3 linked regions of the Mus musculus genome follow. The main gene of each other region encodes a partner of the protein of the gene in region 3 in a complex. Links are inferred from orthologs where the notes say so. Each region holds a gene or a part of one and is shown on either strand. Other genes may lie near its edges. The genes, in order: Micos13, Apoo and Chchd3.

The links.
Region 1: Chchd3 (region 3) and Micos13 share a complex: the UniProt entries of both Homo sapiens proteins name them as parts of the mitochondrial contact site and cristae organizing system (MICOS) complex. The link is inferred for Mus musculus from reciprocal best matches to the Homo sapiens genes CHCHD3 and MICOS13.
Region 2: Chchd3 (region 3) and Apoo share a complex: the UniProt entries of both Homo sapiens proteins name them as parts of the mitochondrial contact site and cristae organizing system (MICOS) complex. The link is inferred for Mus musculus from reciprocal best matches to the Homo sapiens genes CHCHD3 and APOO.

What each region holds. Positions count from the first base shown.
Region 1 is NC_000083.6:56,606,916-56,611,180, reverse strand, and holds Micos13 (MICOS complex subunit MIC13 precursor), read left to right. Parts: upstream 1-1,409; 5' UTR 1,410-1,512; coding exon 1,513-1,541; intron 1,542-2,157; coding exon 2,158-2,335; intron 2,336-2,488; coding exon 2,489-2,543; intron 2,544-3,339; coding exon 3,340-3,437; 3' UTR 3,438-3,729; downstream 3,730-4,265. UniProt on the Homo sapiens protein: Component of the MICOS complex, a large protein complex of the mitochondrial inner membrane that plays crucial roles in the maintenance of crista junctions, inner membrane architecture, and formation of contact sites to the outer membrane.
Region 2 is NC_000086.7:94,387,544-94,391,191, reverse strand, and holds part of Apoo (MICOS complex subunit Mic26 isoform 1 precursor), read right to left. Parts: intron 3,528-3,648; coding exon 3,473-3,527; intron 448-3,472; coding exon 352-447; intron 1-351. UniProt on the Homo sapiens protein: Component of the MICOS complex, a large protein complex of the mitochondrial inner membrane that plays crucial roles in the maintenance of crista junctions, inner membrane architecture, and formation of contact sites to the outer membrane.
Region 3 is NC_000072.6:32,966,233-32,969,880, reverse strand, and holds part of Chchd3 (MICOS complex subunit Mic19), read left to right. Parts: intron 1-1,562; coding exon 1,563-1,680; intron 1,681-3,648. UniProt on the Homo sapiens protein: Component of the MICOS complex, a large protein complex of the mitochondrial inner membrane that plays crucial roles in the maintenance of crista junctions, inner membrane architecture, and formation of contact sites to the outer membrane.

The sequences.
Region 1 (4,265 bases), on a different chromosome or scaffold from region 3:
ATGTTCTAGGCTCCTCTCACCCATTCTTAGTCATGAGGGTTGGTTTATTTTAGTTCTGGGTGAAAAGGAGAAAATGTCACCATAGACACTGGACATGTCTGTAAAAGCAGGAATGAGGAGGCCCAGGCAGGAGAATTCAGCTTTGGTCCATATGAGTTCCAGACCAATCACGTACAAAGAATAAGACCCCGTCTAAAAAAGAAAAAAACCCACAAAGCTGGGTGATGGTGGAACACACTTTAATACCAACACTTAAGAGGCAGATGCAGGCAGAGCTGTGAGTTCGAGGCCAGCCTGGGCCACAAAGTGAGTTCCAGGACAGCCAGGACTGTTAGACAAACCTTGCCTCAAAACAAGCAAGCAAACAATAACCAACCAAAGGCAAACCAAACCAAACCCAACACAAAAATAAGTAATAAAGAAATAAAGTTGTGTGTGGGGGGGGTCTTGTGTATGGTTGAATCGGAATGACCCCTACAGTTTCATGTATTTGAATGCTTGGTCCCCATTTGGTAGAACTGTTTGGCAAGGATTAGGAGATAAGTTTTCTTGGGGCAGGGGTGACAGTGGTGTGGACTTTAAGGTTTCAAAAGCCCACACAATACCCTGTAGTCTCTTTCAGCTTATGAGCCACAATGTAAGCTCTCAGCTGCTGCTCCAGCGCCATCCCGGTTTGCCTGCTGTCATGCTCCGCGTTACGATGGTCATGGTCCTCTGAAACTGGAAGCAGAAAACTTTTCCTTCTATTGAGTTGCCTTGGCCATGGTGCTTTGTCAGGACAACTGAGAAGTAATTAGGACAATAGGTCTCCATAGACAATTACAAGGCATCCATGCATCCATGGTGCACATCTGCTCAAGCTCACCTTGCAACCGAACAGGGATCTACATGATGTCCACTTGGCCGCTAACCCCTCCTGCGGCACTTCGCACCCCAGTGTGGCTCCTTGTACTCCGGACCACCCACCGCCAACCCGTTCTCACATGACCCCAAGACTTCTACCCGGCAGGGATCCTCCAGCGCCTTGGCCTTGGCAAGTCAACAACCTTGGCAAGCGTCCATCTCACAGGCCATCTGTAGCCTCTCCAAGCTTCCTAGGTTAGAGCCACACCCCTAACCGCTCACGTGAACCAAAGGCCTGCTTCTCTGGAACAATCCAGCCCTCGCGTTGCCGTGGTAACCATCACTTAGGCTTGCTTCACCTGGGGGACACTCAATTCTCCGCGCGGGCGCGGGGAATCCGACCAGTGTCTTCCGAGGGCTCGTCTCTGTCGTGCCTCCAGACTACATTTCCCAGGAGCCTTCGCGGCCTAGCCCTTCTTTGGTCTTCCGCCTAACTAATACATTTCCCAGAAAGAATTGCGGCAGCCACGGACCTCGACCTACAAGAGTCTAACTCCATTGCGGCTGACAGCGACCACTACATTTCCCAGGAGTCTCAGCAGCGACACCAACCGGAAGCGGCGGGCGAATTACTTGTCCTTGCGCGGCGAGTGAAGCGAGAGACTAACCATGGTGGCTCGAGTGTGGTCGCTAATGAGGTGCGTGGACAATCGTGGAGGCCCTGAGAAAGTTCGGGGCTGTAGGCATCTCTGCCTCGTGGCTTAGGGTCCTGCGACGGCTCACTTCCGGTTGTTACGGACCTTTCTCACGGTCTGTGTAGGGAAACTGGCTTCAGCCAGCCCTTATCACCCTACTGCTTCAATTTACTCTTAGGTGCAATTCAGATGCGTAGGCAATCCTGCCCATCTCCCTCCGTAGCTGACTTGAGTAACTTGCGGGGAAGCTCCGCCAGACACCCTGGAAGGTTTTGTACCAGGGATCTTGAGTGTCCATTATCCTTTGCAGGGTTTCGAATGACCCACCCTGTCTCTCTTTAAGACTCCGTTTACTGCTAAAAGTCGTGTCACAAAGGCAAATGAAATGATCAACTGGCCGGGAGTGGTGGCACACGCCTTTAATCCCAGCACTTAGGAGGCAGAGGCAGTCGGATTTCTGAGTTCGAGGCCAGCCAGGTCTACAGAGTGAGTTCCAGGACAGCCAGGGCTACACAGAAACCCTGTCTCGAAAAACAAAACAACAACAACAAAAAATGATCAACTGTCTGATCTCTGAGATCCTGCCCCCCACAGCGTCTCCCTTCATGTATTCCTGAAGGTTCCTCATTAAGGGAAGTGTGGCTGGAGGAGCAGTCTACCTTGTTTATGACCAGGAGCTGCTGGGGCCTAGTGACAAGAGTGAGGCTGCCCTGCGGAAGGCCGAGGAGGTTGTGCCACCAGCAATGTACCAGTTCAGCCAATATGTGTGCCAGCAGACAGGTCTGGAGATGCCACAGGTACCTTGGCTGGGAGTGGGTGGCCTACAGGTTGCTTCTGGGTGTCCTTGGGGCCTCCTCCACCCCTGCTTGGTGGAGTTTTGTGTTTCTGGGTTTGGGAGACAAGGCTGTGACCTGTTTCCCGTGTCAGCCCGTGTTCCTCTTTCTTCCCAGCTCCCAACCCCTCCAAAGATTAAATTTCCAAACTTCCGTGATTCCTGGAACTCAGGTAGGCCCCTATGCCCCTGCTTGGGGGGATGCCTGGGCACCCCAGCCTCTCTCCCAGCCCTGTTTACCTCATTGACCCTTTCTACTCCTCCATGTTTTCCTGTTTGTGTGCCTGTATATCACCTATGGAACTAAGTAGAAAGGACTGGGTATGGTGGCCCATGATTGTGACTTTAGTATTTGGGAGGCCGAGGCAGGAAAATTGTAGTTTCAAGGCCAGCTTGATCTATAGCCAGGACTACACAGGGACATCCTTTCTCAAAAATAGGAAAAACAAAATACTTAAAAAAACCCTAAGGGGTTGGGGTTGTAGATCAGTGGTAAAGATCTTTCCTAGCATGCATAAAGCTCTGGGTCCTGTCGTCAGCACCCCATAAATCAGGCATGGTGTTTGTAGGTCTGTCATCTCAGCACTCAGTGCAGGCAAGAGAATGAAGGATTTCAGGGTCATCTTTGACTACATAGGGAATTCCAGGCCATATGGGATATATGAGACCTTGTCTCCACAAAGAAAAGCTGGATATTGTTATACACACCTATAATCTCAGCACTGGGAAGAGCTGAGGCAGAAGGACTGAGAGTTTGAGGATAACCTTGGAATATATTAGTGAGATGAAACCTTTTAAAACAGAGCATAGGGAAGGGGTTGTGGTTTAGATCCACACTGGAACTTGTCCATCAGGAAAGGCTAGTCCCATTCCTCCTCCATGTACTGCTCTTGCACTCCCCAGGGGTTGGCTGGCTGAGTGGCTCTGGCAAGGTGGGGACCTTATGGCACCTGTGTGCTGTCTCTGCAGGCATCATCTCAGTCATGTCAGCCTTGTCGGTGGCCCCCTCCAAGGCCCGAGAATACTCCAAGGAGGGCTGGGAGTACCTCAAGGAACACAGCAAGTAATGGATGCCACCTGCCCCAGCATTATGGGGGTCAAGACCAGGATGGCAGAGACATCCCAGTGGGGACCTCACTCTGAGGGCAGCTTCCAGCATTGCTGGCCCAATAAAGGACTTGGGAATGGTCCCCAGCCGGTTTTCTGGTGGGGGGGGGATGTAGAGCCTTTGCTTTATGGGCAGAGTCCTGGCTAACAGGGATCTCTATGTTCCAGATGTAATGTTTGGAGCCCAGAAAGATTTTAGTTTTAGTTTTTTGTTTTAACTTTTAAAAATTTTGTGTGATAAAAACCATGACCAGAAGTAGCTTGGATAGGAAAGGGTTTATTTCAGCTTGTTACTCTCAGGTCATTCTCCATCACTAAGGGAAGTTAGGGCAGGAATCTGGAGGCAGGACTGAAGTAGAGGCCATGGAAAATTAGTTTATAGGCTTGTTCTCCATGGTTTGCTCAGCCTGCTTTCTAATAACACCCAGGACCACCTACCCATAGTCATCAATCAAGAAAGTGTCCCACAGTCCAATCTGACGGAGGCATTTTCTTAACTTAGTGCTTGTGTGGGTGTGCTTGTATATACACACTGGCACTGTCTGTTGTGAGCTCTCCATCATGGGTGCTAGGATCTGAACTAGCCATGGAACCATTCTTCCAGCCTGTACAATGGAGTAGGTACTGTGGTGCGGGGAGCCTGGACTTGGGGCCCTTAATAGGGGCTTCACTTGCAGTGGACCAGTTCTTTTTGACAGCCCCATTGCCCAAACTAGTCACAGCCACTCAGGACTCCCAGCCTTGCCCCCTGAAGGTCCCTTTTCCTAGGGACCCTGCCCCAGCATTCC
Region 2 (3,648 bases), on a different chromosome or scaffold from region 3:
ATAAAGGCATGTGCCAACATACCTGGCAACAGTGGAACATTTACAGTTTGTCAGGTGTGAAAGACTTTGAACAGAACTTTACTCTTTCTGTACCATAGAGCAATATTTGAACAAGTAAATGTGCTTATTAAGTAGAACTAATTTCTTTTTCTTACCAAGAATATAAATTTCTATGTATGTTTAAAGTCAAATGTAACTGGATAAAGACACACATGAATCATTATGTTAAGAAGTCCACATTCAGGAACCAACTTATTAAAAAGCTATTAAATATGGATAAAGAGCCACACATATATCCCATCTCTCCCATATAAACTGACTCTGGGGGGAACCCTAAAAAATTGCACCTACCTCTAGCAAAAAGGAGTCCAACAAAACCAGCAAAACCAATAACACCGAGTCTTGGGAAAAATCCAGGAGGCGCATTTTGAAGATAGTTATAGTTGTCTACGATGGAATAAGATTGGGAAATAACTCCATAAACTGTTCATTAAAACCAAAAGCAAAAGTCTCATACATAACTAGAACATGCACTACCAAATGTTCCCCGACCATGCATCCTTTGCTTCCTGTTAGTACGTATTTGTTTTGTTTTGTTTTAAGTCTACTTTCATTTAGTATAAAGCAAACCCATGATCATCCTGCCTCACTTCCCATGTGCTGGGATTACGGGTGTGCATCACCAAACCTAGCTCACACTTTTTAAAGACAACCTTGCTGTGTGGCCCAGGCTGAATTTAAACTTTCTTTGTATCCCAGACAGACCTGGAACTCACAATCCTGCTTTACCGTGAGTGATGAGATACACACCACCATCAACTGTGACAGTATGATTCTTTGCAATACATTCTTTCAGGAACCAAACACATTCAAATCAGAAAACCAAGTGTCTTTGCCATCTGAACTCATTATTTGAACTAAAGAACAATATGTTTGGATAATGAAGGAAAACTGCAGCATAAATTTGTGCTGGCTAGGGTTTTGTCAACTTGACACAAGCAGGGTCGTCTGGGAAGAGGAACATCAACTGAGTAATTGCCTCCATCAGACTTGCTTGTAGGCAGGTCTTGAGAGCATTTTCTTGATTAATGCTGATTATGTGGGAGGGCTCATGCCATTTGGGGGTAGAGCCACCTGTGGGAGTGTGGTCCTGAGTGCTAGACCTAGAATGAGAGACCTAGGAACACTCAGTCCTAACTGGGATGCCCATATCAAATCCCCCATCTCAGGGCTCAGGGAACCCCATCAAAGGGAGGCAGAAAGAACATAAGAGCCAGAGGAGACAGAGAACTCCAAGAAAGCAAGACCCTCTAAATCAACATCAACTAAGTTCATATGAACTCTCAGAGACTGAGGCAGCAAGCACAGGGCCTACAAGGGGCTGCACCAGGTCCTCTGCATAGATATTATGGCTTCCAATTCGTGGTTTTAAAGATATTTCTGAGGGCAAAAACAAGTAGGTCTCTGATTCTTGTGCCTTCACTTGGGCTTTTCCTTCTGTTGGCTTCTCTTGTCAATTTCCAATGTGTTAGTTTTTGTTTTATCTTAATATTAATTATTTAATATTAATTATTTAATATTATCCTGTTTGTTTTCTAATGACAAGCATAAAGGGATGAGAAGGGATCTGGATGAGAAGGGAGGTGGGGAGGAACTGGGAGAAATAGAGGGAGGGAAAACTGTAATCAGGGTATATTATGTGAAAAAAAATCTATCTTCAACAAAGGAAAAAAATAAAATAAAATTGCATTAGTGTTAGAAAAAGAAAAAGAAAGGAACTCAGGCTGAGCAAGCTACGGGGAGCAAGTGAGAAAGGAGCACTCCTCCATGGCCTCTGCTTCAGTTGCTACCCTAACTTCCCTCCAGGGTAGCTTGTAAACTGTTAAGCTGGGATGAACCCTTTCCTCCCCAAGTTGCTTTGGTCATGGCGTTTTATCACAACTATAAAAAGCAAAGTAGAACAAGATTGATGCTAGAAGTAAATAGCCACTCTTGCTGGTCATAGAATTTAATAATTTAAAAATAAATACAACAGTGAGCCTACTCAGGAAGTAAATAATACAACACATGACCTTATTTGCCATGCCTACGCATGTCTTAAGACTTGGATTTGCATGCTCTCTCCTTTCCTCTCCTGTCTATGGAAGCAGTCTCACAGCAGACTGGAGCCTCCTCAGGCACTGAGTGCCTCCTCAGGAACGCTCATCCTAAGTCATCCGCATAGACACTGCCTCCTTCTCTAAGGTGCCATCAGAAGTCAGTCTCGGTACCACCCCTGCTATCTCACCCTAAGCATTTGATCCTTCATGCCTGTGTTTTCTGTCCCCCACACACAATATATGTTCTCTCACGGTTGATTGCTTAGACTTATATGTTACCTTCTCTTGGTGATAACAGTAGATACTTATCCAACAGATCTTTGTTAAGACCACCACCAGGTACAATGACACATACCTATGAAGTTGTCACGGTGAAACCCATTACTTTGCATGCTAACCTTAAAAATTAATAATTAAAAAAGAATACTGCCAAGAGTTGTTTAATACCAGATGAAGTAATAAATGACTTGAAGCTAGGTCATGACTTCATTCTCTCTCAACTTAGCCTTAGCCTTCCCTATGTTTAAAATGCTTCCTGGAAAAGCCTGAGTCCTGTCTCTAAACACTGATCACATTGAGCCAGCTATGTGTTGGTTATACAGCTTTTCCAGGAAGACCAGCTGAATTCCTTCCTGCATCTAGATTTTATGCACTTTTTTTAAAAAGTTGTTATTGTTGTTGTTGTTGTTTTAGACTACACAGAGATCTCTCTATGTAGTTCTGGCTGCCCTGGATCTCACTGTGTAGAAAATGGGCCCTTGAACTAGCAGAGATCCATTATTGTCATCTCCCTCCTCGTTGATAGAAGTAAAGGCATGTGCCACCATACCTGGCCTGTGCAATATCCATTAACGCCAGCTCACAAATTAGTATGACTCACAAAATCCAGTGAGGAGTAAGCAAGCTCTAGTGCACTGTAATTTTGTTGTTGTTGTTGTTTGGATTTTAGCACTGGACCTCACAGATGCAAAGGAAACAGTCTGCTACTGGGAGTTATTTGACATGTTTGACTTTTTCTTCCTGAGTTACACAGAGTCACTACAAAGACTTAAGAAGATGCGTCCCATTCTGCTACTGGGAACTTACATCCCCAGCCCTGGAGTTGGTTTTTTTTGGTTTTGTTTTTTTTTTAATTCTAAGGTACAAGTACTTGTTAGCCCAACAATGCTAATAATATTGAAGAGATTCATGAAATAAGACTCTTCTGAAACCTATTTCAAACACAGATCATCTTCCAGAAAACATCTAGATAGCTCTAGATTTGTCCATATGATGTCAAAGACTCTGATTTCCAGAGCCAATTTCCTAAAAACTTAGTACAATAGTTCAATAGGATGAAATAACCGATTATGCCTAATTAAAACTCAACTTACCTACTCCCCACTGGACAAAGTGATCCACCTTGGGTTTAGTATGGGAGTATATTTCCTACAAAGATAAAAAGAAATAGAATGAGTAGGGCTTACTGAATAAATTATCATTATTAACATCTTTTGGTGCTGGGGATGGATCTAGAGCAACAAACACTACCATTAAGCTATACCTCTAG
Region 3 (3,648 bases):
TGCTTCAAGAAAAATATGTTTACCATCAAGGGAAAAAGCATAATTCTGGAATATATATTATAAGATAATTTTGTCAGTTATAACTTATTTCTAAGAATGCCAGGGTATCAGGATGGTGTGATGCTTTAAAATAGCATCACAAATTTTATGTTCTACTTCTTTTCAAGGGTCCCCTTGATAGGCCAGCACCAAGTAAAATTTAGCACTCATCATTCACACTCAGAACATTTTACTCAGAATGACACCAGCATAACAATTTTACCTCCTTTTAAAGCAGAGCTACATCTTTGGGGGTATAGAAGTGTTATTCTTTCAAAAGAGAAAAGGCAATCAGAAAATCTTTGTCCACGAGATTAGACTGAAATGATCTTTCATTCAGTGCTTCTGAGTGCCGTTCTGTGCAAGGCATTATGGCACAATCCAGTGCCAGAGTCATTTATCATTATCATATACAATGAGGTGTTTTAGTAGATTGTAACTTAATATGGAGCTAATTGTGTGACGAGGCAATGGATCACCTTAATGCAATTGTAGGCTTCACTAATAGAATTAGTAGTGTGCAGATCCTGGCACTGCCACTGTTGTCTTCTTGTTTCTCTAGAACACGTCTGGTATGTAAGGCATCCATCAGAGCTAAGGTAGGTGGGAGCAGTCATTCAGCAGCCTGGAGCCTGCTATAACAGGCTGATTTTGCATATGTTGGAGGATGGAACAATACACTGGGTGGAGAGACTTCTTTGTGTTTCTGGCTAGCTTCTGCTTTCATATAGGATTAAGGAACCTGGATCCCGACACCTTGTCCTCTACTGTGTCCTCTATGTCTGACTCATGTCAGTGAATAAATGACTCACTTTTGGAGGAAGATGATGCCTTCATATGTTCCTCACAAAGGTGGCTTGATGAACTTTGTGCATGTGTGTGTGTGTGTATGTGTGTGTGTGTGTGTGTGTTTGGAGAGGCCAGTGATCTAGCTTAGCAGTAGCTTTCAGGAGGGCTTTCTACCTTGGTTTTTGAGACTGTGCCTGGAACCTAGGACTTGCTAGTGGGTTTGGCCAACCAGCCAGCTAGCAGGCCAGGGATCATCCTGTCTTGTTTGTGAAGTACAGTGTTACAAATACTACACTATGTTTTTTTGTGTGGGTACTGGACACAGACTCAGGGCCTCATGCTTGTGAGGAAAGCTCTTTACTTACTGAGATGCCCTAGCGATGGGATTTTTTTAGGTGAGAAGTTTTCAGTTTTACCTGAGAACTTTGTTAAATTTGGACACTTTGTCAGCTGGATCAATACCTTCTTCTCTTAGAATTCCAACGTTTTAAATGTGTGGATGGAGGCTGCAGGGGATTACTATAGTATAAAGTTTTGATAGATTATAAGCCAATATGATTTCAGATTTTGAATTTATCGTTTCTGCTTTTTTATTCAGGTTTTTCTATTTAACATAAAGTGATACCAACCAGCAAAGTATTTTTTTTTTCTATCCAGGTTATTAAATAACCTAAAAATAATTTGTTGTTAAAGTAATTTAAAAGAAAGTATTGTTACCTTTTTTGTCTTTTCAGCCTTAAGCAAGCAAGGGACCTAGAAAGAGAAAGGGCTGCAGCCAATGAGCAGCTGACCAGAGCTGTCCTTCGGGAAAGAATATCCAGTGAAGAGGAGCGCATGAAGGCGAAGCATCTGGTGAGGCTGGTTCTGGTTACTAAAGACCCCTCGTCATCCTGGGCGTCCCTGAGGCTGGGAAGCTGCTGTCTGTTCCAGCTTTTCGTGTTGAGAACAGTGATGGTCCCTTGGCCAGGTTTTCTTGAGTTTTATCTAAGTAGCTGATGAAGGTTGGCCATCCAGGATGTTTAAGGTCGGTTACTTTACAAGTGTTGAAGTGCTGGAGGCACATGTGGCACCTGGGAGCTGCTGCTTGTTTGTTGTGTTGTCTCTGCTACCCTGGGCACAGGCCTGGCCCTCTTTCTCTTCCTGCTGGCCCCTTCCAGATGCTTTCCTGGGAAAGCCGCAGAGAGGTGAGCTAAGCTTTCATCAGCTGCTCTCCAGACCTGACAAAGAAGGAACAAGGCTTGGAGAAGCCTTGTAAAGGACAACAATAAGTTTTCTCAGTAAAAATATTTTTTTTAATTTTAAAGATTACATAAACACTTTAAAAGATAATTAACAAAAATTTAAAACTCACCCACCCATACATTTTTTTCTTGACATGATCATGGTTTACACTGGAGTGTGTTAGAGTTTCTTATATGTAACTTTGAATTTGAATAAATGATGTATGTATGCAAATATATTGGTAGATTACAGAACACTTTTTCTGAAATGTAGTTTCTCATGATGATTAGTATCCTCTGTATCCTTACCATTTATTAAGCAGTTTCCATTGGCAGCTAAAACGGCATCTCTTGTGGTTCAAGACTCTAGCGGACTGCTCAGTCTCTAATTTTCTTCCTAGAAATGCAGGTGAAACTGTTCAGGGCCTTTAGTCCTTGCTAGAACACACTAGGACACCAGTAAGATGGAACACAAGGCCTTAAATGGAGGGTTTTGAATTTCAAAACTTCCTACCCAGTAAGTAACCGAGAACTGCTAAGCCTAGATGGGGAAAAGCTCCACTTCTCTTCTCTACTCTAGTGGCTCTCTGTCTGTCTGTCTCTGTCTGTCTCAGCTTCAGTTTCCACACACATTAATATTAGGACGATTGAAAGTTTGTTCTTTTAATACTTACCCATGCTGATGGGTGCAGTGTGATAGGTTAGCCCATGTATGCAGTGGGTCTGATGGAATTAGCAGAGTGTGTGCTGAGAGGCTTAGAATCCTCTCCTAGTTCTTTGGGAACTAGATAATAAATTGCTAACAGCTTTTTCCTTTCTTCCTTTTCTTTTTTCTCTTTTCTTCTTGTTCCCTTTTAAACCTTTTATTCCCTTATTTGAAAAGGGAACCTATGACCAGGTGACAAAAAGGAATGAAAGGTGAAGTCAGTTTATAAAGCTTTTTCTTAGTGACCAGTCTGAGGTCCCAGGCTACATGGGGAGGAAGGTGTTGCTAGAGTGGACGTGATAGACCAGGAGGGAAATGCCAGTGGGCGGACTGTGGTCAGCACATTGAGCATTCTATTGAGTGGCGCTCAGGGAAGGAGGGTCAGAAGGGAAGCCAGTTAGTTTAAAGGAGAAACAAAGGAATGGGCAGCTCACTTTTGATTCTGCCTGCCGTCTGACCTGCAGCATGTCTTGAAGTAAAGTGTCAGGCCAGTTGTCTGAGTGGTCGTTGCAATCACAGTAAAGTCTCACAACCTGGAGGCTAAAGACAGGAGAGGACAGGGTTAAAGGTGCTCATGTTTTAGGAAGGCACTGGGGGCATTTCTGGTGAGCATTTTTTCTGTCCCCTCTCTTGATCCTTTGCACCTGATACCTGGAACACTCTTCTCTCAATGACTAAAGCCTTTACCCGAATGTGGGAGTACTGCCTTGTTTACTTAGTTTAAGAATTAATGATTCCTTACATACACATGATGAGGCATGAGCGGTTTCACAGAAACTGTGAAACCTTGATCCTGTAAGCCAGTGGCAGCTCACACGTGCGACATGGTTGGCATGGGATAGTATGTTCAGCCTTTGATTTGTCTTAACCACCTGCATATTGCCTGTCTTCACG